Macaca fascicularis: one gene and its partners. The protein of the gene in region 6 interacts with the protein of the main gene of each other region in a pairwise test. Links are inferred from orthologs where the notes say so. Each region holds a gene or a part of one and is shown on either strand. Other genes may lie near its edges.

Region 1 (4,314 bases), on a different chromosome or scaffold from region 6:
AAATTAAACCGTAACAAATTCTTCAAATGTCATGGGGCTGAAATGGAATCTGAAACCAGAGTTATCTGACTCCACCAGCACACTGCCTTTATTTTAAGAATAGCTCATTGTGTTCTATTTTGTTGACAATTAGGATATTGTTTATTCATCTAAGTCAGTGGTTTCCTATCTCTTTTCTCAATAGCAGAAACACACTTTTCAAATTCAGCCCTTCTCAGAACTCCAGTAAGTAAAACTGATAAAAGCTAAACAGCTCTGGCTGAAATGGATTTTGGGGCCCAGCAACCAGCCCACTTGACTCCACGGTACCCCTGAAGCACCTTGAGGTATATGGAGCATAGTGTGAAATCCCAGATTGAAGCCGCCAACAACAACAACAACAACAACAACAACAACAAATCCCAACCTGAAGAAGTACAAGTTAAGGGCAGCCTGATTTGTATAATGCATCTTTCATTTCACTGTCTCCCATCACATCGGATCCTCATTATCAACTCTGAGGTGGACAAGGCAGTGCATATCATCCTCAATTTGCAAATGAGGAAATAAAGGCCAAATGGAGTTAAGCAGCTGGCCAAAGGTGCACCAGTTCAATTTTCAGCCAAGTGCAGACTGGAAGTAGAGTCTGTCTCCATTAACTCCATGTGACCTGGCAAAGAGGGTGCCATCTACTGGAAATTGCTACTGACCCTTGGTCCACGAAGTGGACAATCAGCTCCTTGGCCACTGAGAGCTGAGCACAGCCCTCCTGCCAAGGCCCTGTCCCGGAGCAGATGGCAATGAGCAGGGAAGAAGGGCTCAATGCCACTGAAGGGCCTGACAGCAGGGTTTTGGCTGTAGATAGGCCATTCCTATCTGAGCCATGTCGTGCTGAGCACAGGGCAGGGAGGCAGGACTAGCCAAAGTACCTTCCACCTTCATCTGCAGTAAGTAAATGAGCCCACAGAGGGACAGCAGGTAGTGCAGAGGTGGGTGTCCGTTACACTTTGCATTTCTTCTTAGCTCTTGCTTTGGCATCCCTGAAACCTGAGGCAGCTGATAAATGCCTGAATGGCTCCCCAACTCCAGAGCATCTCTGAACTGAGCTGTAGCATGTGTTGGAGCAGGCAACACTTAATTATCGGTTAGTCTTTAATTAGCTCTTAATTATTAACACTTAATCCATCTGTAAAATGGGGACACTAATACCTGCCTCATAGGGACTCTGGGAGCATTAATTAAGTTTACAGTCCACTTTGAAGATGCAAAATGTGAAATAAGTGCTCAACAGTGGTATTAATAACCACAGCAGATTTACCTTCTTTTCCTAATGAGGTCCCTTTTTCCTCTCTGCTCCTTCCTTTCCTTTCGAATATCCATCCCCAACAATATCTGCCCAACTTTGCCCTGATGGAGAAACACTTAGCTCTGTGTTTCCCAGACACAGGATTTCCCATCCAGGAAACGGGCTATTTACAGCCATCTTCCCGCACTTTAATTTTCTATTATGTCCTCTGAATATGTCAGTGCCTTCCCAGTAAATATTTTGATGTGTGCTCTTGCAGCAGCTTCTGTGGAGGCTGAATGGGACAGCTGCTCCCTGTATTAGGGAATTCCAGATGTGATTTAAAACCATCAGTCTCATCCATGTGAATGCCTAGCCTTTAGGTGGGAGAGGGGAAGGATCTTCTAGTTGCTTCTGGGGAAAGTCACGAGCCATGTAACCCTTAGCCTTGGCTAGGGTGGTTTTTCAAGGACCTCAGATTCACATGCGTTTAGGATGAGAGATGTCTGCTTAGTGGGCTAGTGAAGAGGCAGCCTGGAATATAGCCCTAATCTGGCTCTTCACCCACGAAACATCAGAACCTTGGTCAGCTCTTCTATAACGCTTGGACAAAGGACCATGGAAGGGGCAATATACAGCCTTTAGGGTTTCAGCAGCCTCAAGGGTGGGCCAGAACATTCCCCTAGAAGGTCAGACTTCATCTCCTCCCTCCTCCCTTTCTGCCAACGGAATAGGGGGGTACTCACTCTTCTTGAAAGCTGAGCTCATTGCCTCTTAGAGTTCCAGCCACGGGGACAGACAGCTGCTCCATGGAGGTCCAGGGCTGTGAGGCTTCAGGCAGGCCTTGAACTCTCTTCCAGATTTCATGGCAAGTCTTGTCTAGGCTGTCTTGGGGTGTGTCCTGGTGGATCCAGATGTATCTGGGGAATGGGCCCAGGGCGCAGGGGCGCTTGGCCACCAGGGCCGAGGATGAAGGAAGCCCATTCCCACTTGCCATCCTCCTCCGCTCTTTCTGGAAGCCCCTCTGTCCACCCAGGGCTAGAAGACATCCACCACCACTCCTCATTCACCAGAAAGGGAGATGAGGATGGGTCTTGGCAGAAGTGGGTCAGTTCTGTCTGGCTGTCGCTCCCACAAGGTGGTTAGGTTCAGAGGCCTTCGATTTGTGTGGGAGGGGTGGGTGGAGGACAGTTTTCTTTTGGGGAGGGGAGGGCTTATTTTGATTTGTTTTTATTTCCTCTTTCCTAACTTTTGCCGCCCTCCCCCTCTCCCTCAGAAGAAAATATTTAAAAGTCAACAAAAACCAGTAGCTTAGGAACAGTGGAATGCCCCGGAGCTCAGGAACCAGGCGCCTGGGCGGGCAGAATGACATCTGGGAACAGCTGGAGGGGGAGGGCTGGCTCTCCCCACAGTCCCTGGCACTGCCCCCTTGCGACGCCGCCGTGACACCTTGCGGCGCCTGGGCTCAGCCCATGCTGGCCCGCTAGGACACGCGGAGAACTGGGTGCGGGCCTGACACCATGGTAGGCACCCGGGGGGCGGGGCCCCGCAGGAAACGCTCGCCTGGGCGTTCCCAGGGAGCCCCTCGCAGAGCGAGCGCCAACGGCCCGGTCCCCGCCGCCGGCCCAGTTCTTGCTTTACTCTCGCCCTACCCCACCTGCTCCTGGTCTCCCGCTGCTGCTCTGCCGCCCCGGGAAAGAAGGGACGAGGCGTGTGTGGATGGGCCCACAGCCCTCAGTCCCGGCCCCCAGCAGACCCCTGCCCTGGCCGCGCCGCGCTGCGGGATGGGCACCGGGAAGGGCCCAGCAGCTCAAGAGCGCGCTGACTCGGCAAGGCAGGCTGGGCCGGGCGGCTCCCACCAATTTGCCCTGCCAATGGCTCCCACACCCTCGCAGTCGTCGAGCGGGGGAATTCTTTCTGTGGGTTTCAAACGCAACGGCTCGGTGCGCGGGACGCCCTGGGTTCGGAGCCCAAGACCCGCCGGTGGGGTGGGTGGGGGTGGGGCCCAAAGGACCCCAGAGCGCTTCGGCGGATCAGAAGTCAAAGCCAAACGCGCCGCCGCCCCACTTCACCGCTCCACACAAACCTCAGCTCCTGCCTGGGGGGCCCCCTCATCCTCGAGTTTAATCCTAACTGCCATTTTATGGGGCGCTTGCCCTGTGCCAAGCGCTGGGCTCACATTCAATCCTATCAAAGCTCGTGAAATTAGTACCACTTTTTATTATCGTTCTAAATGGGAGGAAAGCGAATCTCAAAGTCATAAATGATAGTGTCCAAGGCCCACTAAGAAAAGGGGAGCTGAGATTCAGACCCCAGCACTCTAGGCCTGATCTAGCCCTTGAGCACTGAGACTGCTTCAGTAGGTGGGCAGGAGCAGGGGTAGGAGGTCCGAGGTGCTGGGAGAAGGGCTAAGTTAGCTGTTTACTGATCAACAGGCCCCTACCCTCACTGAAGCGGCTTCATTCAACTGGGCACTGACACAGTACCTCCTCTGAGGGAGACTTTCTGGTCCCAAGAGTCAGGGCGTTGTTTCTTTAATAATACTCCTGGAAAGGAAGAGCAAGAGGGTGGAGAAGGAAGAAAGAAGAATGGACACAAATAGAAGAAGATGGCAGTCTATAAATGCAGGGCTGGGTTGAATCCTGACACTTCCCCGCTGTGTGACCCTAAGAACTTTCTGAACTTCTCCTATCCCCATTCATAATTCCCCCAGTACTGATGCAACCCCTCCTTTGTGCCCGATGAGTTGCTGGGCACTGAAGAAGCATAAGGGTGGGCAAAAGTGGCATGGTCCCTGCTCTCATGGAGCCTGTATACTAGTGAGGGGAGATCGATGCAAACTAGCCAAGCGAGTAAAGCAGCAATAATTACAGATGCAATGGGGCTCTGATGGAAAATAACTATTAGGTTGGTGCAAAAGTAACTGTGGTTTTTGCCATCACCTGCAATGGCAAAAACTACGATTACTTTTGCAACAACCCAATAACAAAGTGAGGCATTGGGGAGAAGAGGGGAGGCAACATTCCGTGGTGGTCCAGGCCCACCTCTTT
Region 2 (3,794 bases), on a different chromosome or scaffold from region 6:
GGAGGCCACGCCGCACACCCTGCATCTCTCCTGGATGGTGACTGAGGGAGAATTTGACTCCTTCGAAATCCAGCACACAGATAGAGAAGGGCAACTCCAAACGGTCCGTACAGGAGGTGACCGGAATGACATCACCCTCTCTGGCCTGGAATCCGACCACAGATACCTGGTGACCCTGTATGGTTTCCGCGATGGGAAGCATGTGGGTCCTGTCCATGTCGAGGCCCTGACAGGTGAGAACTCTGCCCACTGTGCCTCCTTTCAGATGGTGGGAGAGTCCAGAGGAGAGCAGAGTCCCGCAGATACCCTGCCCACCTCAGTCCTCTCTTTCCATGTCTCTGTCCAGTCCCGGAGGAGGAGGAGCCTTCGGAACCTCCCACCGCAACCCCCGAGCCCCCCATCACGCCTCACCTGGGGGAGCTGACCGTGACAGACGCCACCCCCGACTCCCTCAGCCTGTCCTGGACAGTTCCTGAGGGCCAGTTTGACCACTTCCTGGTCCAGTACAGGAACGGAGATGGGCGGCCCAAGGCTGTGCGGGTGCCAGGGCATGAGGACGGGGTCACCATCTCGGGCCTGGAGCCAGACCACAAATACAAGATGAACCTGTACGGCTTCCATGGTGGCCAGCGCGTGGGCCCTGTGTCTGCAATCGGGGTGACGGGTGAGTGAACAGTGGGAGCCACAGGGTGGGTGCTGTGGGAGGGCCACCCTCTTGTTCTTTGGTGATGACTGGTGGGGAATGTGACAGGGGTCTGGTCAGCACCACAGACCTGCTTGTGGCTGGGGCTGGGGCTCCCCTTGGGCCTTCCTGTGAGGTTGACCCCTGGCTCCTCCTGAGCAGGGAGGGGCCGTCGGGAGTTTTGCTGTGCTGGTGGCTGTCCCAGGTCCCCCACAGTTGACCCTGGAACTTGTCATGTGTTAGCTGATCAGGACCACCCAGCCCCAAGAATGGGCTTCTCTGAAATGACCTCAGGTCCCCCAGTCATAACCTTGGGTTCTCCCTCCTTTTCCCCAAGTCCCAAGGACATCCCCCAGGGACCCTGCCTCACTCTCTCTGTGTCCTTTTTTTCTCAGCTGCAGAGGAAGAGACCCCCAGCCCCACAGAACCCAGCACGGAGGCCCCGGAGCCCCCCGAGGAGCCGCTCCTGGGGGAGCTGACAGTGATAGGATCCTCCCCTGACTCGCTGAGCCTCTCCTGGACCGTCCCCCAGGGCCGCTTCGACTCCTTCACCGTGCAGTACAAGGACAGGGACGGGCGGCCCCAGGTGGTGCGTGTCGGGGGCGAGGAGAGCGAGGTCACTGTAGGGGGCCTGGAGCCCGGGAACAAGTACAAGATGCACCTGTACGGCCTCCACGAGGGGCGGCGTGTGGGCCCGGTGTCCGCTGTGGGCGTCACGGGTGAGTGTGCGCTGCAGAGCCCTCTGGGTTGGGTCTTAGGAAAGTGCAGCCTCCAGCATCTCTTCCACTAGGGACCCAGGATCCCAAGACCTCAAACCTATAATGCACCCTGTTCGCTAAAGCCTCAGGATGGGTGTGATCTGGGGACTAAGAGAGCAAATCCAGGAGAAGTGCCAGCCATGTGGGAGAGGCTCCCGGGGACTGAGGCCTCTCAGGAGGTGATTCACTGGCTGGTTTGTGACTCTGCTTTTCCTTGGAGCTCTATAGAGAACTCTTTTTGTGGGATTGGAACACATTTTTGAAATACAAATTAATTAAATTAAAAGTATTTGTTAAATAAAATTTCAAATGTGTAAATAGAAAGAATAGTACAAAGACCTCAGGTACCCATCACCCTGCCACCCTCCTTCAATCAAATATCAACTTCTGGCCAGTCTGACTCATCTCTGCCCCACTCATGTCCTCCACTAGAATCACTAGAATGTTTTTCTTTCTTTCTCTCTCTCTCTCTCTCTCTCTCTCCCCCTCTCCCTCTCCCTCTCTCTCCCTCTCTCCCTCTCCTTCTTTCTTTCTTTCTTCCTTTCTTTTGACAAGGTCTCACTCTGTCACCCAGGCTGGAGTCTACTGGCACAATGACAATTCACTGCACTGCAGCCTCAACCTCCTGGGCTTAAGGGATCCTCCCACTTCAGCCTCCCAAATAGCTGAGACTACAAGCGCACTCCATCATGCCCAGCTAATTTTTTGTGTTTTTTGTAGAGACAGGGTTTAGCCATGTTGCCCAGGCCAGTCTTGAACTCCTGGGCTCAAGTGATCCTCCCACCTCAGCCAAAGTGATGGGATTCCAGGCGTGAGCCGCCACACCCGGCCTGAATGTTTTCTTTATTAACACCTTCATTGAGATATAATTCATGTGGCATAAAATACACTTGTTTTAAGTGTACGGCTTACTGATTTTAGTATCTTTACCTACTTGTGCAGCCATCACCACAATCTAATTTTAGAACTTTTCCATCACCCCCAAAAGAAATCTTGGGTCCAGATCCATTCCTATCTCAGCCCTAGTTTATAACCAATCTAATTTTTTCTCTGTAGATTGCTTTTTCAGGACATTTCGTATAAATGGAATCACACAATATGTATCGTTTTGTGTCTGGCTTCTTTCACTGAGCATGATGTTTTTGAGGTTCATCGATGTAGTATGTAGAAGTACTACATTTACTACATTGCTATTGATTGATTGATTGATTGATTTTTTTTTAGACAAATTCTCACTCTATTGCCAAGGCTACAGTGCAGTGGCATGATCATAGCTCACTGCAGCCCCAAAATCCTGGGCTCAAGCCATCTCAGCCCCCCAAGTAGCTGGGACCACAGGTGCTTGCCACCACACTCAGCTAATTTTTAAAAATTTTGTAGAGATGAGGTCTCACAGTGTTACCCAGGCTGATACCAAACTCCTGGCTTCAAGGAATCCTCCTGCCTGGGCCTTACAAAGTGCTGGGATAACAGGCATGAGCCACCTGCTCTCAGTCACTACATTGCTTTTTATTGCCAAACAGTATTGCATTGTATGGTTATACTACTGCAATATTTTAAAACGAACCACAGACACCCTATCCTTTCATCACTAAATATTTAAAGGTATATCTCTTTTTTGAAAAATTATTTTTAAAAAACCCACAATACAGCCAGGTGAGGTGGTTCACACCTGATCCCAGCACTTTGGGTGGCCAAGGCAGGTGGATCACTTGAGGTAAAGAGTTTGAGACCAGCCTGACCAACATGGTGAAACCCCATCTCTACTAAAAAAGAAAAAAAAAAAAAAAAGGAGAGCGTGGTGGCATGTGCCTATAGTCCCAGCTACTTGGGGGGGTTGAGGCACAAGAAATTGCTTGAACCCAGGAGGTGGAGGTTGCAGTGAGCCAAGATCGTGCCACTGCACTCCGGCCTGGGTGACAGAGCGAGACTCTTTGTCAATAAATAAATAAATAATAAAATTCCACAATACAATTAGCATACCTTGATAAATGAACAATCATGCCTTGATATCATGTATCCAGGTAGTGCTACAGTCTCCCGAGTGTCTCATAACTATTGTTTTCCAATTCGTTGCTGAAATTAGGTCTATAGAAGGAGGATACATTGCAGTTGAGAAAACTGAAATGTTAAGTAGAGCAGTCAAGGAAGGCCCAGAAGAAGGTGGCTTTTGAACAAAGACTTAAAGGAAGGGTGGGGATGAGCCATGAAGATATCTGGGGAAAGAACATTTAGGTGGAGGGAACAGTCACTGCAAAAGTGCTGAGGTAGGAGGCCGCCTGGCATGTTTGAGGGACCATAAGGAAGCCACAAAAGACTGTAACGATTATAATCAGAAATCGATCTTCAGTTAG
Region 3 (4,244 bases), on a different chromosome or scaffold from region 6:
TGCTGCCCGACCTATTCCCATGAGCCCATTCAGAATCTGGGGCAGGTCAGTCCAGAGCTGGTCCCTGCTCAAGCCCACCTGCCTCCAAGGCTCAGCCCCACCCCTTTCTCTGGCCACTCAGGGCTCTGAGACCACTGCTCTCTGAATCCCAAACCCTGAGAAAGACAGTCCAGACTGTATCCATCACAGATGCCCACAGGCACAGTACTTAGTTGACAAATCCATCTCTCTCTAGTTCATTTTATCCTAAGAACAGACCTGAGACAAAAGCAGAATGAGGAGCATGATCACACCCTTACCCTCCAGATGGGAAACTGAGGCCCAGAGAGGCCTGGAGCACTGGCGCAAGCTGGCAGCAGGACTCTAGGGCTCCCCAGCCCTAGCCAGTGCCTTCCCGTGTCCAGGCCTCAGCTTCCCCTGGGGACAGTACTAGTGTTGGGCCAGATGCCCTCTCAAGTCCCTGCTTGGCATCCATTTATTGCAGGCCTCCCACCACCTTGCAGTGAGGGTGGCTCTTGCTGCTGGGAAGCCCACTCTCAGCACATGGGGCTTAAATGCTCCTGCTGTGGGTCTCCCCACTAAGTCCCCTCCCGGGGTGCATGCTGATGGGAGGGGGCAGGTGGCTGCCCTGGCTGGCCGGGTACGGGGGCTGTCAGTGTGGGTCCTAGGAGGAGGGATCAGAACCAGTCCTGGGGAGGGCTGGGGGCCTGGAAGGAGCATGATGAGCCCAGGCTGCGTTTTCAGTCTTGCTGGAAGCAGGTCTGGTCCCTAGAAATAACTAGAGACAGGACCAGGCCGGGACAAGCAGGCTAGGGGGCATCATGGGAGGTGTCTCAGCTTATCTCCTCCCTCTTTCGCCTCTGGCTCACTAATCCCGCCTCTCATCTCACCTTTCTCTAACCCTCTCGGACTGCAGGACCTAGGGCAGCAGGGAAGCTTATTTGGCCTGAGCCTTACCTATAAAGGGCCCTGAGCCTTACCTATAAAGGGCTCAAAGGTAGACTTTTGTTATTATATTCAAATTGCAACGTGTAGATGCTCATATTTTTTAGTTAATTACGTTTTAGCAGTTTTTCCTTTTTAAGAAAAGTCTGCTGGTACCTTAATAAACATGGAATCAGCATCCTTTTGCCGGGTGGTGTCTGTTCTCCGGGTCTCTGGGCCTGGAGGCGGGAGTGTTCCAAAGCATTTCACGCCCGGCGGCCCCACCGGCTGGCTGCGCTGCGCGCTGCGGCCGGCAGGGGTCGCCCACGGACAGGCCCGGAGGAGGCGGGACAAGGGCGGGGCCGCAAACCTGGCCAGGCCAATAAAGGCTGCTGCGCGCGGCTGCGCGGGACTCGGCCTTCTGGGCGCGCGCGACCTCTTTTTCAGAGTTGTGTGTTCTCCCTGCCCGTTTCCCGCCCGACCCTCGCCCGCGATGCTGGCGCTGCGCTGCGGCCCCCGGTGGCTCGGCCTGCTCTCCGTGCCGCGCTCCGTGCCGCTGCGACTCCCCGCGGCCCGCGCCTGCAGCAAGGGGGCCGGCGACCCGTCTTCTTCCTCCTCCTCCGGGAACCCGCTCGTGTACCTGGACGTGGGCGCCGACGGGCAGCCGCTCGGCCGCGTGGTGCTGGAGGTGAGACCGCTCGCAGGGCCGGCCTGGGCGCGAGACACGGGCCCGGGGAGAGCCCTGGGCTTTGGGCGGCGCGGTGCCGGGCGCGCTGGGTGACCTTGGGCCTCCCCCTGCCGGGCTCTGGGCCTCAGTTTCCCCATTTTGAGAATGGGCGTCGGAATGGCTTCTTCCGGCCTCGGAGCACTGGAGCCGGGGAGACGGGAGGGAGGGCACGTGTGGAGGAGAAAGCTCAAGGTCAGATCGCAGAGAGGGAGGGCCCAGCACCCCTGGGCCGGCCCCGGGACGAGAGAGGGGCTCCAGGAGTTTTCTGGGGCTGAGCCTAGATCCGGAGCTCTGAGGTGGGTGTCGGGGGGCTTGGGGTGAGCGTTGTGGCCCGGCGGGTGCTCACGTGGCGGCCCTTGCACAACGCGGAGCGCGCCCTGGCCCCGACCCCGCCCCCGCGGTCGGGCTCACACTCGGGGTGCTGGGAAATGGAGCGAGAAGTGGTTTCCAGCAGCAGTGCGGGCCCAGTAGGCCTCGGGCCCGGCCACCTGGTGGACCCCAGAATGCCCCTCCTGCGAGCTGGGACACATTCAGAGGCAGTGTGCCCGGAACCTTGCCCTGCCACCGTCCTTGGGAGTCACACTCAGCACCTGCCCAAACTCTTTGGGTCTTTTATAAAGCAAAGTAAGAAACAGTCATCAGGGTAACTTTAGAGGGAAAGCCCTAGTGGAGCCTTCAGCCCGGCCTCACATTGACAGCAGAGGTCAGTTCGTGTTGACTGGCCCTTTTCTCAGGGAGCCCTTGGTATTTCTTTTTCAGTCTCAGTTTCTTCTGGAAAATAGGGACACCCTTCCTGCTTCCATTTGGTTCAAGGGTGGGTCTTGCAGCTTCGAGGCTAGAGGCTGGCTGGGATGGGGCTTCAGCCTTCCCTCCCCACACCCTCATGCCTCTCCCTGGGCCTCAGTTTCCCAACCCCGAATGGAGGAGCCTTAGACCCACTCTCTTGTCCCTGAATTTCTGATGCTTTGGGCCCAGCTGTAGGAGCACTGCCCCTCCCTGGGAGCATGCCTTTCCCTGGGCCTCAGTTTACCATCCCCAAATCAAAGAGCTGGTCTGGCTCCTACCTTAGACCCACTTTCTTGCCCGAGTTTCTGATGCTTTGGGCCCAGCTGTGGGAGCAGTGCCAGCTGTGTCCACAGAAGTAGGCCAAGATAGCATTGTCATCTCTTCTGACAGATTAGGAAACCAAGGCCACCTCCTCCAGCCTTGGGTTCAGGAAATGGCTCCCAGAAATGATAGAGCTGCCACCTACGCGGGTTGGCAATAATGGGAATGGAATGTCCACGTGCTTCTTCCTCAGCCTCCTTGGCCGCTGTGGGGGTGGGTGGGTGGGTGCTGAGAGACATCCACCTTCACCTGTCTCTCCAATGACCACCCACTTTTGTCCCTCTTCTCCCCCAACAGCTGAAGGCAGATGTCGTCCCAAAGACAGCTGGTAAGACAGGGCGTGGGGCCTTGTGAGATGGGAAGGGGGCCAGGCAGGGCAAGGTGGGTGGCGTAGTGAGAAGAATCGGGGCTCAGAGACCCCTGACGAATGGGAGCTCCATGTGTGGCTCAGCCACTGGGTGCCCTGGGGCAGCTCTTCCCATCCCTCTCTGGGCCTCAACGTTGGCTCTGCCCTCCTCTCTCATAGTAGCTGGGAGCCTCAGAGCCGGTGGAAGGCACACGTAAATTTCCCAGAGACTTCCCCACTCTTGGTCCCCAATGAGGCAGGGTGGTGCGCACATAGCCCTTGAGTCGCTGCCCTGCTGGTGCCAGCACAGCCATGAGCCTGTACTCTTGTCACAGTGCTCAGGTACTGAGGTCAGGGAAGGGGAGTGACTTGTCCAGTTACATAGCGAGTTGGGCAGAGCAGACCCAAGAGGTGCCAAGGTCTTTATCCCCCTGTTCACTGCTGGGGATGTAGCAGGGATTTTGGCTGGAATGGGTATGACCCGGGAATTGGGGCCTGGCCGTGTTAACCTGTGTCTCCCTTTGACCCTCAGAGAACTTCAGAGCCCTGTGCACTGGTGAGAAGGGCTTTGGCTACAAAGGCTCCACCTTCCACAGGGTGATCCCTTCCTTCATGTGCCAGGTAACGTGGTTTCCTTTTCTGTAAGGGGGGATGAGAGCAGGAGCTGCCTTGTGGGTGTGTGAAGATGCCTGGCATGAGGAAGGTGTTGAGCAGGGCAGCTGCAGTTGCTCTGTTGGTCAGGCTGCCCCCCCTGCATTAGCCCTGTATCCAGGCTTCACTGCACATGGAAGTCCAGCCCCAACCCATTGCCACTCCAGGCCAGTGGCAGGCCCTGCCCAGGGGACTGGGAGGTGGAGTCTATCAAGGCAGAGCTGGGTTGGGGGATGGATGTGCTGGGGGTGGCCCTGAAGGCTTTGAAGAACCAGCATATTCCAGTGGTCTCTGACCTTGTCCCCTGCATGCCCCTGAGCACTGGTGTGGGAGATAAGAGGGGGAGAGGGAGAAGCGGCGGAGGTGGAGGAGGAAGACGGGTCCAGGGCAGGAACACACATGCCAGGACTTGGAGCTTCCCTTCCCAGAGAAAGGCATTATTCTCGGTGAAATGAATGTTTTTCAGTCATGTGCCACGCTCGGTTTTCG
Region 4 (3,794 bases), on a different chromosome or scaffold from region 6:
AGGTGTTACCTCCTCCTTGAAACCTTTTCTGATTTCCCCAGTAGGAAACAGCCTTTCCTGCCTCCCAACCTCTAAGGCATGTTACTCACATCCTTTTTTTAAATATTTTTTTCTTTTTTTGAGACGGAGTCTCGCTCTGTCACCCAGGCTGGAGTGCAGTGGCGCGATCTCGGGTCACTGCAGCCTCTGCCTCCTAGGTTCAAGCGATTCTCCTGCCCCAGCCTCCCAAGTAGCTGGGATTATAGGCCCGCACTGCCACACTCGGCTAATTTTTGTATTTTTAGTAGAGACGGGGTTTCACCATGTTGGTCAGGCTGGTCTCAAATTCCTGGTGCTGGGATTATAGGTGTGAGCCACTGCGCCCGGCCCTTTTTTTTTTTTTGAAGACGGAGTTTCACTCTTGTTGCCCAGGCTGGACTGCAAGTGTGATCTCGGCTTACCGCAACCTCCACCTCCCGGGTTCAAGCAATTCTTCTGCCTCAGCCTCCTGAGTAGCTGGGATTACAGGCAAATGCCACCGTGCCTGGCTACTTTTGCATTTTTAGTAGAGATGGGGTTTCTCCAGGTTGGTCAGGCTGGTCTCGAACTCCTGACCTCAGGAGATCCATCCACCTTGGCCTCCCAAAGTGCTGGGATTACAGGTGTGAGCCACTGTGCTCCCTGACTTTTCCAGTCCTTTTATTTATTTTTTTAAGATACAGGGTCTTACTCTGTCACCCAGGCCGGAGTGCAGTGGCATGATCAGAGCTCACTGCAGCCTCAACCTCCTGGACTCAAGCGATCCTCCCACCTCAGTCTTCTGAGTAGCTGAAATCACAGGTGTGTGCCACCACACCCGGCTATTTTTTTTTTTTTGTATTTTTAGTAGAGATGGGGGTTTCACCACATTGGTCAGGCTGGTCTTGAACTCCTGGCCTCAAGCGATCCTTCCACCCTGGCCTCCCAAAGTACTTGGATTATACATAGGTGTGGGCCATGGGGCCAGGACATTCACATCCTTTTATAGTCCTTAATAGTCCTTAAAGCTTTCTACAGGTGGTGGCTCACGCCTGTAATCCCGGCACTGTGGGAGGCCGAGGTGGGCGGATCACGAGGTGAGGAGATGGAGACCATCCTGGCTAACCCAGTGAAACCCCGTCTCTACTAAAAATACAAAAAAAATTAGCCGGGCTTGGTGGCGGGTGCCTGTAGTCCCAGCTTCTCGGGAGGCTGAGGCAGGAGAATGGCATGAACCCGGGAGGCGGAGCTTGCAGTGAGCCGAGATCGCGCCACTGCACTCCAGCCTGGGTGACACAGCGAGACTCCGTCTCAAAAAAAAAAAAAACAAAAAAAAACCTTTCTGCCATATAGTAGAGTTAGATTTTACTTCCTTTAGACTCCTAAAGAATAGCATTCACTGATGTACCTTCCTGTAACATATCTTATAGCAGATACTCAACGAATGTTTGAAATGAGAAAATGACCTGTGTGTATATCCAAGTTTATATCAAAATGTCTATGTCCCAAAGTAGGTGAACTTGTCCTCCTTTGTTTCCAATGGCAAACTTCTTGGTTACCCATAGCTGAGTTTCCTAACAGGGGATTCCAGTCTTCTCATCCTTCCTCTATTCCTAACCTGGAGTTTTTGAACCAGGAGGCCATCAAACTCCCAAGGATTCCTCTAGATAGATCACCATTTCTCCATTTCTGGCAGATCTTCCCCAAACTTATGAACATATCACATATAACCACTTTTTTTTTCCCCCGTTTTATTTTTTGTAGAGACAGGGTCTTGCTGTGTTGCCCAGGCTGGTCTTGGACTCCTGGCTTCAAGTGATCCTCTTGCCTCCAAAGTGCTAGAACTACAGGCATGAGCCACCTCACCTAGCCCACTTCCTTTTTTGATTTATCCGGGAGTTCTGCCCCTATTGTGTGAGTCTCATAAAAACCAGTTTTTGTTTTTTTGGGTTTGTTTTGAGATGGAGTTTTGCTCTTGTTGCCTAGGCTGGCGTGTAATGGTGCGATCTTGACTCACCACAACCTCTGTCTCCTGGGTTCAAGCGATTCTCCTGCCTCAGCCTCCCAAGTAGCTGGGATTACAGGCCTATGCTACCACGCCCAGCTAATTTTGTATTTTTAGTAGAGACAGGGTTTCACCATGTTGGTCAGGCTGGTCTTGAACTCCCAACCTCAGGTGATCCACCCACCTCAGCCTTCCGAAGTGCTGGCATTACAGGCATGAGCCACTGCACCTGGCCCCGATAAAAGTCTGTTTTAAAGACAGTTTGTTTTCTCTACTCATTTCTAAAAGGGAGTCATCAGTGGGCTGGGAAACTGAAGGACCCAATCCCAACCCATTCTCCTAGGGACTCACTGATTCGGCACAATCCCTCTTTCTCAGTGCCAGGACCTGCTGCTTAGAGTGGCCTTGGACACAGGCACCCAATACAATCGGATCTCTGCTGGATGTCTCAGCCGCCTGGGGTAAGAGTGGCCCAAAAAAGCAAATGGGGGACAGGGTTTCTTTTTGGGCTGATGAAAATATTCTCAGATTAGATAGTGACGACAGTTGCATATTTTATCTCAATAAAGCTGTTATTTAACAAAAGAGTGGCTAGAAGACTCTGGCAGAGAAGGCAAGGATTTAGACCCCACGTGAGGTCAGGGGTTGGAGGTGAACCCATAGTAGAGCGGGACGTCTGCTGATTAATGGGGTGAAGCCCACTGGGGGCTGTGGTAGCTATAACCTTTGCTTCCCAACCACAGGTTAGAGAAGAAGGTCCTAAAAGCCTCAGCTGGGGACCTGGCCCCTGGGCCCCCAACCCAGGTGGAGCAGTTGGAGCTACAGCTGGGGCAGGAGACCGTGGTGTGCTCGGCACAGGTGGTGGGTAAGTCCCCCCTTCTGCAACAGCCCTGGTGCTCGCCTCTCACCTTTCTCTTCAGGGTGGGGCAAAGGCAGAGACTTTCAGTCCCTGCAGCACAAGGAGTCCCCAGAGATGTTCTGACCATCCCTCATCTCCATGCCAGTGCCCTCGGATCTGGGGATGGGGTGGGCAGAGAAGGAGCAAGGGCTGAGAGGAGGGGAGCAGTGACCGCTGGGAACCCTCAGCCTCTTCTGTTTTCAAATGGTTCCTGCAGATGTTGAGAGTCCTGAATTCTGCCTGGGCCTGCAGACTCTGCTTTCTCTCAAGGTAAGGCACCCACACTCAGGGCCTGATCCAAAGCACCGGGAAAAAGTAATAGAAGGCAGAGGTGGCCGGGCGCGGTGGCTCAAGCCTGTGGTCCCAGCACTTTGGGAGGCCGAGACGGGCGGATCACGAGGTCAGGAGATCGAGACCATCCTGGCTAACACGGTGAAACCCCGTCTCTACTTAAAAATACAAAAAAAAAGCTAGCTGGGCGAGGTGGCGGGTGCCTGTGGTCCCAGCTACTCGGGAGGCTGAGGCAGGAGAATGGCGTGAACCCGGGAGGCGGAGCTTGCGGTGAGCTGAGGTCCGGCCATTGCACTCCAGCCTGGGCGGCAGAGCGAGACTCCGTCTCAAAAAAAAAAAAAAAAAAAAAAAAAAAGAAGGCAGACGTGTGGAAGCCTGGACCAGGTTCTGATGAGAGTGACTTAGAGATTGGCAATTGTCCCTTTGCTTCCTTAGAGGTTCCTTACTCACCACCCAGGGAAAAGTCAAGAGAACTGGGTCACCCCCTCCAACAGGAGTCAAGGGAAATGGGGATAAGGGGGAGAGCAAAAGGCAGGTGGAAGCTGTGGGAAGTGGGAGGCAGGTGACGGGCTGAGGTGAGCCCGCATGACTGCTGTACACCCC
Region 5 (4,460 bases), on a different chromosome or scaffold from region 6:
CGCCTGGGAAAAGGGAACTGGGAACATACTCGTCCTCTCAGACCCAGATAGGGAAACCAGGTCAGCAACCCAGGGCCTGGGATGGATTGGAAGGCATCAGCCCAGGGCCCTGGCCCCCACTTCCCCCTCCTCACAGGGCCCCCGGCACATACCGAGTGAAACTGTAGATCTGTTGCACGTTGAGGCCACAGGGGGGACTGTTTCTTAATGCCAGGGCAATTAGGTGGAAGTAATTGAGAGGGGGCCGGGACCAGAGCCTCCCCGCCTGGCTGCTGGCTTGCCGAAGCCTCCGACTCTGGAGGGGGGCCCTTTTGTGAGGGGATGGGAGAGCCACAGAGGAGCTGTCTTCCTGGTCCTCAGCCTCCTCCTCTTCTGTGAGCTAGAGGAGCACAGAGTAGGAACTGGTCCTGACTCCTCAGCCTCTACTCCAGGGTGCAGTGGCAGGAAGGGGGGGTGGTCTAAGGCCACCATCTGGGCTTCTCCCCAACCCAAGCATGAAGGTAATTTCTGAACCCATTCGCCTTTTGCTATGGCTAAGAGAGCAGAATTGTGATGGCTCTTCCCCATGCCCCTCACCTACTGCCCAAGTCCGGCTCCCACCCCCAGAGATCCATACCTCCCAGGTGCTGGGGGAAAAGGCAAAGCGCTTCCGAGGGGGAGACCACTTGCTGGAGGACCGGGACAGTGATTCCACCCCTGTGGCTTCTGAGCAGCTGGCATCTTCCTCCTTCTGTGGTGGCTGAGACAAGGGAAGTGTGCTTGTCAGATCCTCCCTCTTCCTAGGTCCTGGGACCTCCAGTTTTCCAGGGGGATACACGATGTTGGGGTTTACCCACATCCAGAGGTTGGGTTCATAATCTGGACCTGTGCAGAACAAAAGGAGATTGTGTGCCGCAGCCCACTGGCTTTGGGTGCCCTTGGTCTCCAGCCCAGGTCACAGAAACAGGTCAGAGAACTCAATACTTACCATCCTTATCAGGGTTGGGTTTTTTCTCTAGGGGTAATTTTGGTGGCTTAACAATTCGGAGTTTATACCTGGCAACTGGCAAAAAGAAAGAGAGAGTCAAAACATCCTAGGATATCCCTTTGTGACCCTAGGATCCTAGGCATTAAGGCTTCTCTGGGAGAAGGTATTGTGGGCCTTGCCTGGGGAGTTAACATCACATTGTACTTCTACTGGTTTTCCCTTTACCTCTCTGACCTTCTCATTCCCCTCTGCATTCTTTTCTTCTCACTCTACATATACTGTCCCTGAATTGATCTCCTGCATGCCCGTGGCTTCAGTTAACATCTATAAAAAAAATGTAGAGCTCTCAAATCTTCACCTCTAGCCTAGCATTCTGTGCTAGCCCTTAAGGAGAACTACTTACTGGATATCTTTACTTGGGTAGCCCACAGGCACTTCAGACGGCTTCTAAAACTGAATTCCATCTTGTTGCTCTTCCTCCTGTATTCTTGTTTTTTTCTGAGACAGGGTCTTGCTGTGTTGCATAGGCTGGAGTGCAGTGGTGTGCTCAAGAGATTCTCCCACCTCAGCCTCCCAAGTAGCTGGAACTACAGGTGCATGCCACTACGCCCCATTAATTTTTGCAATTTTTTTTTTTTTCCAGATGGAGTCTTGCTCTGTCACCCAGGCTGGAGTGTAGTGGCGTGATCTTGGCTCACTGCAACCTCCGCCTCCCGGATTCAAGTGATTCTCCTGCCTCAGCCTCCCGAGTAGCTGAGATTACAGGTGCCTGCCACCACGCCCGGGTAATTTTTGTATTTTTAGTAGAGCTTTCACCATATTGGCCACGCTGGTGTCTAACTCCTGACCTCATGATCCACCAGCCTCAGCCTCTCAAAGTGCTGGGATTATAGGTATGAGCCACCGCGCCCGGCCTAATTTTTGTATTTTTTGTATAGATGAGGGTCTCACTATGTTGTTGCCTGGGCTGGTCTTGAACCCCTGGGCTCAAGCAATCCTCCTGTTCAGGCTCCCAAAATGGGATTACAGGCGTGAACCACCATGCCTAGCCTTCCTGTATTCTTTGTCTCAGCAAGTGGCACCACCATTAACTGATTGTTCAGGACAAAAACTATTTTTGCCCCCTCACTGTCACTATGAGTGTCATTATATTACAGATGAATCTAGGCTTTTGTTTGGGAAATGACATACTTATCGGAGAGCTTAATTAGAGAGGATGCCTATTAGGTTGCTAATATTCAACATAGTACTCAAAAAAGGAAAAAGTAGCAAAAGATATAAACATAGGGTTTTTTTTTTTGAGACGCGGTCTTGCTTGGTTGCCCATGCTGGAGTGCAGTGGTGTGACATTGGCTCACTGCAATCTCCACCTCCCAGCTCAAGCAATCCTCCCATCTCAGCTCTGAAATAAATAACTTTTTTTTTTTTTTTTTTTTGAGGCGGAGTCTCGCTCTGTAGCCCGGGCTGGAGTGCAGTGGCCGGATCTCAGCTCACTGCAAGCTCCGCCTCCCAGGTTTACGCCATTCTCCTGCCTCAGCCTCCCGAGTAGCTGGGACTACAGGCGCCCGCCACCTCGCCCGGCTAGTTTTTTGTATTTTTTAGTAGAGACGGGGTTTCACGGTGTTCGCCAGGATGGTCTCGATCTCCTGACCTCGTGATCCACCCGTCTCGGCCTTCCAAAGTGCTGGGATTACAGGCTTGAGCCACCGCGCCCGGCCTGAAATAAATAACTTAAAAGACTTGAACAAAGACTTATAATACATACTATTAAGATGCCAGTTACCCTAAAATGAATCTATAAGTTTTATGCACATATTATAGTACAAAAATTAAAGTTTGGCCAGGTGCGGTGGCTGATACCTGTAATCCCAGCACTTTGGGAGGCCAAGGCAGGTGGATTACTTGAGGTCAGGAGTTCGAGATCAGCCTGGCCAACATGGCGAAACCCTATCTCTACTAAAAGTACAAAAAATTAGCCGGGTGTGGTGGCGCTTACCTGTAGTTCCAGCTACTTGGGAGGCTGAGGCAGGAGAATCACTTGAACCTGGGAAGCAGAGTTTGTAGTGAGCTGAGATCATGCCACTGTACTCCAGCCTAGGTGACAGAGCAAGACTCTCTTAAAAAACGTTCAAACATAGTAAAAATCACCATAAGCAAAAAAAAAAAAAAAAAAAAAAAAAAAAAAAAAGCAAACTTCAACCCAAATTTCTTTCTTTTTTTTTTTTTTTTTTTGAGACAGAGTCTTGCTCTGTCACCCAGGCTGGAGTGCAGTGGCGCCATCTCAGCTCACTGAAAGCTCTACCTCCCGGGTTCACACCATTCTCCTGCCTCAGCCTCCCGAGTAGCTGGGACTACAGGCACCTGCCACCACGCCCAGCTAATTTTTTTTGTATTTTTGTAGAGACGAGGTTTCACCATGTTAGCCAGTATGGTCTCGATCTCCTGACCTTGTGATCCGCCCGCCTTGGCCTCCCATAGTGCTGGGATTACAGGCATGAGCCACCGCGCCCGGCCTCAACCCAAATTTCTCAGTTCTCTAATATATACAGAGCTCCTACAAATCAGTATGTAAAAGGTCAACACAAACTTACAAATGGGCAAATGATATGAATCAGCATTCACAAGGAGGGGATAACTGAATGGCTAACAAGATGATCAGTATTATTAATAAGAAAAACACTGTAAGATAATGAGATAATCAAATTGACTAGAGTTATAAAGATAATACCAAGTGTTGAGAAACATGCAAAGAAATAGAATCTCTTATTATACTGCAGTTCTGAGTATCAACTGGAGCAGCCCTTGTTAAGAGCAATGAGGCAGGACTACAATTTACCTTACTGTTTGCTCCTGGATGTATATTTTCAAGTTAATACAGGAACTTATATACTAATCAATCTCCATTGTTACTATCATCTACTGACCTCCTGTTTTAGCTCCTGACTTACTGTCACTCTCCAACACTACTCCTGCCTTAAATCTTGGTTGCTGGCCAGGTGTGGTGGCTCATGCCTATAATCCCAGCACTTTAAGAGACTTAGGCAGGCGGATTGCTTGGGCCCAGGAGTTTGAAATCAGCCTGGGCAACATGGTGAAACCCCATCTCTACAAAAAATACAAAGATAATAGTCTAGCCGAGTGTGGTGGTGTGAGCCTGTAGTCCCAGCTACTCAGCAGGCTAAAGTGGGAGGATGGCTCGAGAGGGAAAGGCGAGGTTGCAGTGAGCCAAGCTCACGATACTGCACTCCAGCTTGGGCAACAAAGCCAGACCTTGTTTTGAAAACAAAAACATGATCTTTGCTGTTTATTGAACTCTTCTCCAGCGAGTCTGACTTCTACTCTACTGTAGACACTCCCTCAGTCATAACCTAAACTAACAACTGCAACCTCTCCATAACCTCATTTATGCACCACATAAAAATGCACCACCTTGTGTCTTTCTGGCTAACTCCCTCAACCCCAACTATGATCCCACTGAGATCACCAGTCCACT
Region 6 (3,794 bases):
CCTGTTTATACTTTTATACTGTGACACCAACGAGGTGACAGCACCCACCCCAGAGCAGACAACCCTCCCAGCACCTTACACGCAAGGCTGCCCACAGATGTGGGTGAAGCACTCCTGGCTGGCATTCAGATTCTCCAGGTGCTAGAGGAAAGCCAAGTGCACAGGCCTCTCTGGTCCCTGCCTCCACCTCCACCAAAGCAACTCCCCGCGGAATTATATAGATTGACATTCCGAAGAAGATCTTAACAGGAAAACAAAAAAGAAGGTCCGTGCCTTTAAGCCTGTACCCACTAGATGATTCCGCTCAAAACTCTGAAACTTAAAGATGCAGAATTGTCCCACAGTTCTAACAGGAACCTCTCACAGGTCCTAGGCAAAAGCAGTCAAATCTGATCTACCCAGTGGGAAATTATCCAAAGCCAAGGACTACTGTCGGCTCACAAGCAGCACATGGCCCTGCCTTCGGCCTCATGACTCCTCAGAGGCAGGGAGCGCATCAATCATCACCACCTAAGCCTTTGCAGATGAATTCTCACGTAACGAAACTTTTCAAACTCCATGCCCGCAAGTGCCTGTGGTTAGTCAAAGGTTCCCAGGACCTCAGTCAAAGGCTCTTTACTCTCACTGGAAACTGGTCATCACACCAGGCCTGGAAGAACAGAGAGAGACCCTCGCACTTATTACTCTAACTTTTTAGTTTGTTGAGAAGAAAACAAGTCCAGAAAGGTTACGGGACTTCTCTGGGGTCACAGAGCTAGTTTCGTCATAAGGGCAGCAGACAGGCATGCAGTAACTCCAGTAATGACTCCACAGGTAATGGAACAGCAAGTGACATTTATTTTCTTCTTTGTACTTTGCTGCTTTTTGTATGTGTTGCTTTTTATAATTTTGTATGCATTACTTTTAGAATTAAAATAACTCCTTGTTCATTTTTAAAATATCACCATCAAGCTGGGTGCAGTGGCTCACGCCTATAATCCCAGCACTTTGGGAGGCCGAGGTGAGTAGATCACCTGAGGTCAGGAGTTCGAGACCAGCCTGGCCAACATGGTGAAACCCCTGTCTCTACTGAAAATAGAAAAATTAGCCGGTCATGGTGGCAGGCGCCTGTAATCCCAGCTACTCGGGAGGCTGAGGCAGGAGAATCGCTTGAATCCAGGAGACAGAGGTTGCAGTGAGTCAAGATCATGCCACTGTACTCCAGCCTGGCGACAGAGCAAAACTCTGTCTTAAATAAACAAATAAATAAATAAAGACATCACAATCAATCAACTGCAATGACAGGCCTTATGCAAGTCACAATTTTTGCATTCAGACAGGTAGAGTTAGCACAAGCCATGGTCGGTACACATCAAGTCAGATGATCCTAGAAGTCTTTCTTTTAAATAAAAATAAGGAGAAATTGGAAAGACATACACATCAACAATTTAAAAGCTGCTACAACCAGTAGGATTGTAGAAAATTTTTATTTCTTCTACTTTCTTGACTATCCTGTTAAACTTTATTAGATGTATACTTTTGAGATGAGGAAAGTACTTTAAACCCACAATGAATGCAAACATGCGTGACACACCAAGGTACCTGCAGCTGTGCACACCTTCTCCTGGGTCCAGACTGCAGGCTTTGTACTGGGCAGGCCAAGGAGCTCTGCGCACAGTAGGCTTTTAACAAATACTCAAGAAATCATAGTTCTCAGGCATTTAAGGAACAGAGATGGAACAAAATCAAGATTCGAAATTATTTCTCTAAGCTTTTTTTGGGCCACGGTCTATAAAGAGAGATTTATTGGGGAAGTAGGCTGTCAGAACTTTAATGGTTCTGAAATCACTGGAAATGATGTAACTGGAACAGTTTTCTTTTACAAGATTACAGTGTATGTTTTCTAAAGAAACTGTCATTTGCCTTCTAAACTAGAAACAGGGATTTGTAAAATAATGTGCAGTGATCGTGTGGAAAACTAACCAACAGCACTCCTGAAATGCTGCCTTCATGTTCCCCTGGGACTGCTCACCTCACCCCAAAACTATTTCTATTGCCCTCCCCTTCCAGACTACAACTAGTCTCCACATGTAGTTTTCTCGACTAACAGAGCAAACAGATCATAGGAATGGACATCAGACTTCCTTATGAGAGTTCTGAAAATTCTCTCTTCTGGAGGAATAAATTGTCAGCCTTTCAATTCGAACATTCCTGAAAGAATAACCAGGCAACCGAAACATTCAGTGACTTAGCTGTGGTGGGCTTGTCACTTCAAACTTAACAGAACAATAAAACACATGCCACTTTACAGAAAAAAAAAAGAAGACGACGACGAAGAAGAAATCTCTTTAAAACAGTAAGTGTGGACAAAGTGTTTTCACAGATGAAGAGGTGAAGTTCCTGAAATTTAAGGTTTCATTTCTCAAGGGTCTCCTTTAAACAAGTTTATTATTTCAAAGTAGACATGTGCCTTTAACATCATTTTTTAAAATTACCAGCCTTAGCAAAGGTGTAGAAAAAAACGTGTTCTCAAGCACTGTGAGTGGAAGAATTAGTAAAACATTTCTAGAGAACCTCTCAGTGTCTTAACAAAATTTTAAACACACATAGCAATTTTCCTTCTGGGAACTTCTCTATTTGCCAAGATACATATGCAAGGATCTTCCCTATAGGGTTGTGTATAAAGGAAAAATCAGACAGACTATGCCAGGAGCCCCTGAAGGAAAAAGTCAACTGTGGAGGGGGCACCTGTGAATGAATTCTGCGGAGTTGCTAACAGAGCTGACTTTTCACACACAACATGGTAAGGATCCACGACGCCACACACAGGGGATTACACATATATCATGGTAAGGATCCATGACGCCACACACAGGGGATTACACATATATCATGGTAAGGATCCACGACGCCACACACAGGGGATTACACACACAACATGGTAAGGATCCACGACGCCACACACAGGGGATTACACACACAACATGGTAAGGATCCACGACGCCACACACAGGGGATTACACACACAACATGGTAAGGATCCACGACGCCACACACAGGGGATTACACACACAACATGGTAAGGATCCACGACGCCACACACAGGGATGGGGCAGGGGAGAGGGTGTAGAACACACACACACACCCGAGCAGCAGGAGCAGAGACAGCCCTCGAGACAAAGTGTGACAGGGGCCCCCTCCAGAAGGAACATGGGGCTGAGGCTGCAGGGGCGAGGGAAGGGAGGGGCCGACAATGTTCACATCTCTAGGATTCAAACTTTTTCATATACAGCATGCATTACTTTCACTTCTGCTTAAAGAAAAGAAAATAACTGCAGCAGCTTTTGGTTTTTCAAGAGTAATGAGAATAATATTTCACCTACTGTCCCACAGCTCTGTACCTGGGTGGTCAGGGCTCAGGTCTTCCACTGCAATCTGAACCACATCCGCCAGGTCGTGTTCAGACATCATCCAGAGCACAGGAGAGTGGCCGGTCAACACGCAAGAGTTCCACTCGAAGAGGGGCTGGCTTTTGGTCACCTACCAAACAGAAGCAAAGGAGGAGGAGAGGACATTAACCATCGCCACATGTGAAATGATGAAAACCACGAGCCGTGCACATGTATGCAAGAGGCCGAGAATGTCTGTGGATTTTTACATGCAGGGTTCTTCTTGCCTCAAACCACCAAAAGGTAAGTTTCTTTGAAAATTAACAAATAGTTGAAAACGCCACCCGCTGCCTCATTCCTTAACCACTGGACAAGTCACCCAGGGCGTCTCTATTTCCACTGCATTCCTCATGCCCTTCCAAAGCC
Region 7 (3,369 bases), on a different chromosome or scaffold from region 6:
GCCCCTCTAGCTGCCAGGCCCTCCCAGGAACCTGCCTGGCCCTTCACTTTGGGAAGGGACCTTGGCCCTTGGGGAAATGCATTTTTGCCAGACTGTAGCCTTTTGGAGGGGACTGAGCCAAGGCCCCACTGGCTCTCCTCTCTAAGCCTCTTGCTAATGGGCTCTGAGGCCAATGCCTTCCTCCAGGGGTTGGGGAGGTGGGTGGAGGAGTTAACTTGCTGGCTGAGGTCACTGCTGTGACTTGGCTCTTTGTATCTGATTTGTGTACAGGCAAAACTGGCTTACAGAAGAAAAAGGCAGGAACACCTGCACTGGGCCCTGGCCCTTGGAGGTGCTCTGGGGGCTCGTGCCAGTGTCGTGAGGTACATGTGGCTGCGGCCCCTTTTGGGCACGTGGCCTGGGTTTGCTGAGGGTCAGGAGGGTAAGGTCCTACCTTGATCCCAGTGTGGATCGCTCTGAGAGACCACAGCTCCCTCCTCTGGAGTCTCCTCTCCGAGCTCTCCAAGGGAAAAGACAAAGGAAGCCGAACTGCCAAGTTGAAGATTTTGCCTCAGGCAACTAAATTTATTAGCAAGAAAAAATTTTTGTCAGCCCAGCGCTGACCAACAAAGTACGTTAATAAAGGATAACAAATCTGTCACTTAATTCATAAAACATACCTCAAGCAGTTACAACTAAAAATAAAGTTGGATTTTTGTTTAATTTAAAAGCCTCAAAAATAACAAGCAATATGTTTTTAAACATGTAGTAGACACAATTGTCTATTATACAATATACACTGTACACAAGTAGAGCTTGGGCCGGGCAGGGGTGAGGTGAAGGGAGAGGGAAGAGGTGCAGGATGGGCAGGTGCTGTTATCTGAATCCAGATTTGAGTTTAAATGCTGTGTCATTTAGAAAAGGGAATTGCTAGAGTGAGAAAAAAATTCATATGCTCATCATTGCCCCCAACCCTCAACTGAAAGCAGGCATTGGGGAGGTGAATAACAAGGAAAGGAAGAAGGGAGCAATTAAATAAAACTTCTTTAAAGCACACACAGTACACAGTGTTCATCATCTGAAGTAGAGAGTATAAGGCAACGTTCTCCATAGAAAAAGAGGGGGATCAGGAGGAGTCGGTGGGTGTCTTTACTTTTTAAACAGAGCTGGAATGTGCTGGAGGAGAGGTTGTGGCGGGGCTGGGCACATGGAGTGGAGGTGGCCCCGAGTCTCTCCAGAGGTGGGTGCCAAGCCCCAGGGCGTCCACAGTGGCCGGCAGGGCCAGGGAGGTGCAGGAGAGTGGGCATGGCACGATGCGACTCCGGCAGTGTTGGGAGCGGGGATTGGGGTGGGGGGTGGGGGCTCACTTTGCTCCTCGACGGAGTGAAATGCATGTTTTTCCTTTGGAAATAAGGGTTCCCACGCGTCCTGGTTTAGAACGTCTCATTGGGCACGGCCAGTGTCCACAGTCTGGGCAGGCCGGGAGCTCGTGGTGAGGGGAAGGGCCAAGGCGGAGCCAAGGGGCTTCAGAAGGAGGACAGGGAGCAGAGCCCCTTCCTGTGGGGACAGTTGCAGAACAGGAGTGGGGCTGAGGGCAGGCCCAGGGCAGCCACAGGGCTCCTTTCCACCAGGGGCCCAGGGAGGACACAGGCGGGGGATTGCATCTTCAGGGCCTCCCGCCGCAGTTGGCCTTACAAGTTCTTCGTGACCAGGTGGGTCTTGTAATGCTTGGTGAGGTGGTCACTCCTCATGAAGCGCTTCTGACACTGGGCGCACTCGAAGCGTTTGTCCCCTGGGAAGAGGAGATGCCCATCACCCACATACCCTGGGCACAGACCCTGTCTCTGCCCAAAAAGGTGGGGTGTGTGTGAGGGGCACCCAAACAAGCTGACGTAGCCTTGTCACCACATTCTGCCCACCTCCTGCTCTCACATTTGCTCCCTGGTGCCTACTCATCTAAATCTTTTTTTTTTTTTTTTTTTGAGATGGAGTCTCACTCTGTTGGCCAGGCTGGCATGCAGTGGTACAATCTCCGTTCACTGCAACCTCCACCTCCCAGGTCAAGCAATTCTCCTGCCTCAGCCTCTCAAGTAGTTGGGACTACAGATGCCCGCCACTGCGCCCAGCTAATTTTTGTATTTTTGTAGAGAGAGGGTTTCACCATGTTGGCCAGGCTGGTCCTGAACTCCTGACCTCAAGTGATCCGCCCACCTTGGCCTCCCAAAGTGCTGGGATTATAGGCATGAGCCACCACACTTGGCCCCCTACTCATCTAAATCTTTTTATCAATTCTCATTTCTCTCTGCCCCCATTTGACCTCTGCAGTCTATTTTGTTCCCATTCCTTGTCCCTGGAGCCCCTGCACCTAAGAGTCTTCCGTGCAGGGTTGTCCGCCTGCTTTCTTCTTCTGTCTCTCTGACTTTGAACCTGGATCAGCATCCTCCCCATCGCAGGAAAATCCCGCTCCACCCTGACCCTGCCAGCCCTGAGCACTCACTTAGTTGGAACCATGTTGACCCCAACTGCTTTCCTGTGGAGTGCTGGCTCCTCTGCCTTTTGAGGAGTAGGACCTGTCTCACCACACTGGCCGGGAGCTGGAGCTCTGGGTCAAGCTTCCCTCAGCCCTCTAGCCCCAGGACAGGTGTCTGCTCACTGCAGGCATTCACTATAGCAGTGTTTGCCAAAGTGTGTGTGTGGACCACTGTGGATACCCAGGACAATTTCAGGTGGCAGATGTATGAACTTTTTTTTTTTAAGAGATGGGCTCTCGCTATATTGCCCTGCCTGATCAAACTCCTGGGCTCAAGTGATCACCTGCCTCAGCCTCCCAAAGTGCTAGGATTACAGGTGTGAGCCACTGTGCCCAGCCTGGATCAATATTTTTAATAGTTTTGCATTGATTTGCTAGTACCTAAAACTATAACTGTGATATCTCACTTTGGGAGGTAGAAGAGGGAGGATCAGCTGAGCCCAGAAGTTTGAGACCAGCCTGGGCAACACAGTAAGACCCTGTCTCTACAAAAATTTTAAAATTAGCCAGGTGTGGTGGTGCACGCCTGTAGTCCTAGCTACTCAGGAGGTTGAGGTGGGAGAATTGCTTGAGCCCAGGAGTTCAAGACTGCAGTGAGCCAAGATTGTGCTACTGCACTCCAGCCTGGGTGACAGAGTGAGACCCTGTCTCAAAAAAAGAAAAAGAAAGAAAAAAAGCTGTGGCAGGGCCTGGGTTTGAACCTGGCTGCACCAGTCACCAGCTGTGTGACTGGGCCACTTCTCCATGCCTCAGTAAAATAGGCATCAACAGGCTGGTGCAATGGCTCATGTGTGTATTCCTAGCACTTTGGGTGGCTGAGGTGGGTGGATCACCTGAGGTCAGGGGTTCGAGACCAGCCT

The links.
Region 1: the proteins of BANP (region 6) and C1H1orf94 interact in binary tests that used the Homo sapiens proteins (3 or more experiments, as listed by UniProt). The two-hybrid records come from large-scale screens. The link is inferred for Macaca fascicularis from reciprocal best matches to the Homo sapiens genes BANP and C1orf94.
Region 2: the proteins of BANP (region 6) and TNXB interact in binary tests that used the Homo sapiens proteins (3 or more experiments, as listed by UniProt). The two-hybrid records come from large-scale screens. The link is inferred for Macaca fascicularis from reciprocal best matches to the Homo sapiens genes BANP and TNXB.
Region 3: the proteins of BANP (region 6) and PPIF interact in binary tests that used the Homo sapiens proteins (3 or more experiments, as listed by UniProt). The two-hybrid records come from large-scale screens. The link is inferred for Macaca fascicularis from reciprocal best matches to the Homo sapiens genes BANP and PPIF.
Region 4: the proteins of BANP (region 6) and NRIP2 interact in binary tests that used the Homo sapiens proteins (3 or more experiments, as listed by UniProt). The two-hybrid records come from large-scale screens. The link is inferred for Macaca fascicularis from reciprocal best matches to the Homo sapiens genes BANP and NRIP2.
Region 5: the proteins of BANP (region 6) and FOXR1 interact in binary tests that used the Homo sapiens proteins (3 or more experiments, as listed by UniProt). The two-hybrid records come from large-scale screens. The link is inferred for Macaca fascicularis from reciprocal best matches to the Homo sapiens genes BANP and FOXR1.
Region 7: the proteins of BANP (region 6) and SP2 interact in binary tests that used the Homo sapiens proteins (3 or more experiments, as listed by UniProt). The two-hybrid records come from large-scale screens. The link is inferred for Macaca fascicularis from reciprocal best matches to the Homo sapiens genes BANP and SP2.

The regions. Positions count from the first base shown.
Region 1 is NC_088375.1:200,805,389-200,809,702, forward strand, and holds the start of C1H1orf94 (uncharacterized protein C1orf94 homolog), read right to left. Parts: upstream 2,815-4,314; 5' UTR 2,331-2,814; coding exon 2,011-2,330; intron 1-2,010.
Region 2 is NC_088378.1:139,646,593-139,650,386, forward strand, and holds part of TNXB (tenascin-X), read left to right. Parts: coding exon 1-233; intron 234-346; coding exon 347-664; intron 665-1,077; coding exon 1,078-1,401; intron 1,402-3,794. UniProt on the Homo sapiens protein: Appears to mediate interactions between cells and the extracellular matrix. Substrate-adhesion molecule that appears to inhibit cell migration. Accelerates collagen fibril formation. May play a role in supporting the growth of epithelial tumors.
Region 3 is NC_088383.1:67,129,404-67,133,647, reverse strand, and holds the start of PPIF (peptidyl-prolyl cis-trans isomerase F, mitochondrial), read left to right. Parts: upstream 1-1,334; 5' UTR 1,335-1,417; coding exon 1,418-1,612; intron 1,613-3,055; coding exon 3,056-3,086; intron 3,087-3,636; coding exon 3,637-3,725; intron 3,726-4,244. UniProt on the Homo sapiens protein: PPIase that catalyzes the cis-trans isomerization of proline imidic peptide bonds in oligopeptides and may therefore assist protein folding. Involved in regulation of the mitochondrial permeability transition pore (mPTP).
Region 4 is NC_088385.1:3,698,480-3,702,273, reverse strand, and holds part of NRIP2 (nuclear receptor-interacting protein 2), read left to right. Parts: intron 1-2,380; coding exon 2,381-2,463; intron 2,464-2,745; coding exon 2,746-2,867; intron 2,868-3,117; coding exon 3,118-3,170; intron 3,171-3,794. UniProt on the Homo sapiens protein: Down-regulates transcriptional activation by nuclear receptors such as NR1F2.
Region 5 is NC_088388.1:117,848,666-117,853,125, reverse strand, and holds the start of FOXR1 (forkhead box protein R1), read right to left. Parts: upstream 3,061-4,460; 5' UTR 3,046-3,060; coding exon 2,964-3,045; intron 1,555-2,963; exon of another isoform or gene 1,432-1,554; coding exon of another isoform or gene 1,371-1,431; intron 1,043-1,370; coding exon 968-1,042; intron 865-967; coding exon 617-864; intron 380-616; coding exon 153-379; intron 1-152. UniProt on the Homo sapiens protein: Transcription factor which acts as both an activator and a repressor.
Region 6 is NC_088394.1:83,878,891-83,882,684, reverse strand, and holds part of BANP (protein BANP), read right to left. Parts: intron 3,520-3,794; coding exon 3,363-3,519; intron 242-3,362; exon of another isoform or gene 126-241; coding exon of another isoform or gene 80-125; intron 1-79. UniProt on the Homo sapiens protein: Controls V(D)J recombination during T-cell development by repressing T-cell receptor (TCR) beta enhancer function. Binds to scaffold/matrix attachment region beta (S/MARbeta), an ATC-rich DNA sequence located upstream of the TCR beta enhancer.
Region 7 is NC_088390.1:58,807,330-58,810,698, forward strand, and holds the end of SP2 (transcription factor Sp2), read right to left. Parts: intron 1,772-3,369; coding exon 1,671-1,771; 3' UTR 537-1,670; downstream 1-536. UniProt on the Homo sapiens protein: Binds to GC box promoters elements and selectively activates mRNA synthesis from genes that contain functional recognition sites.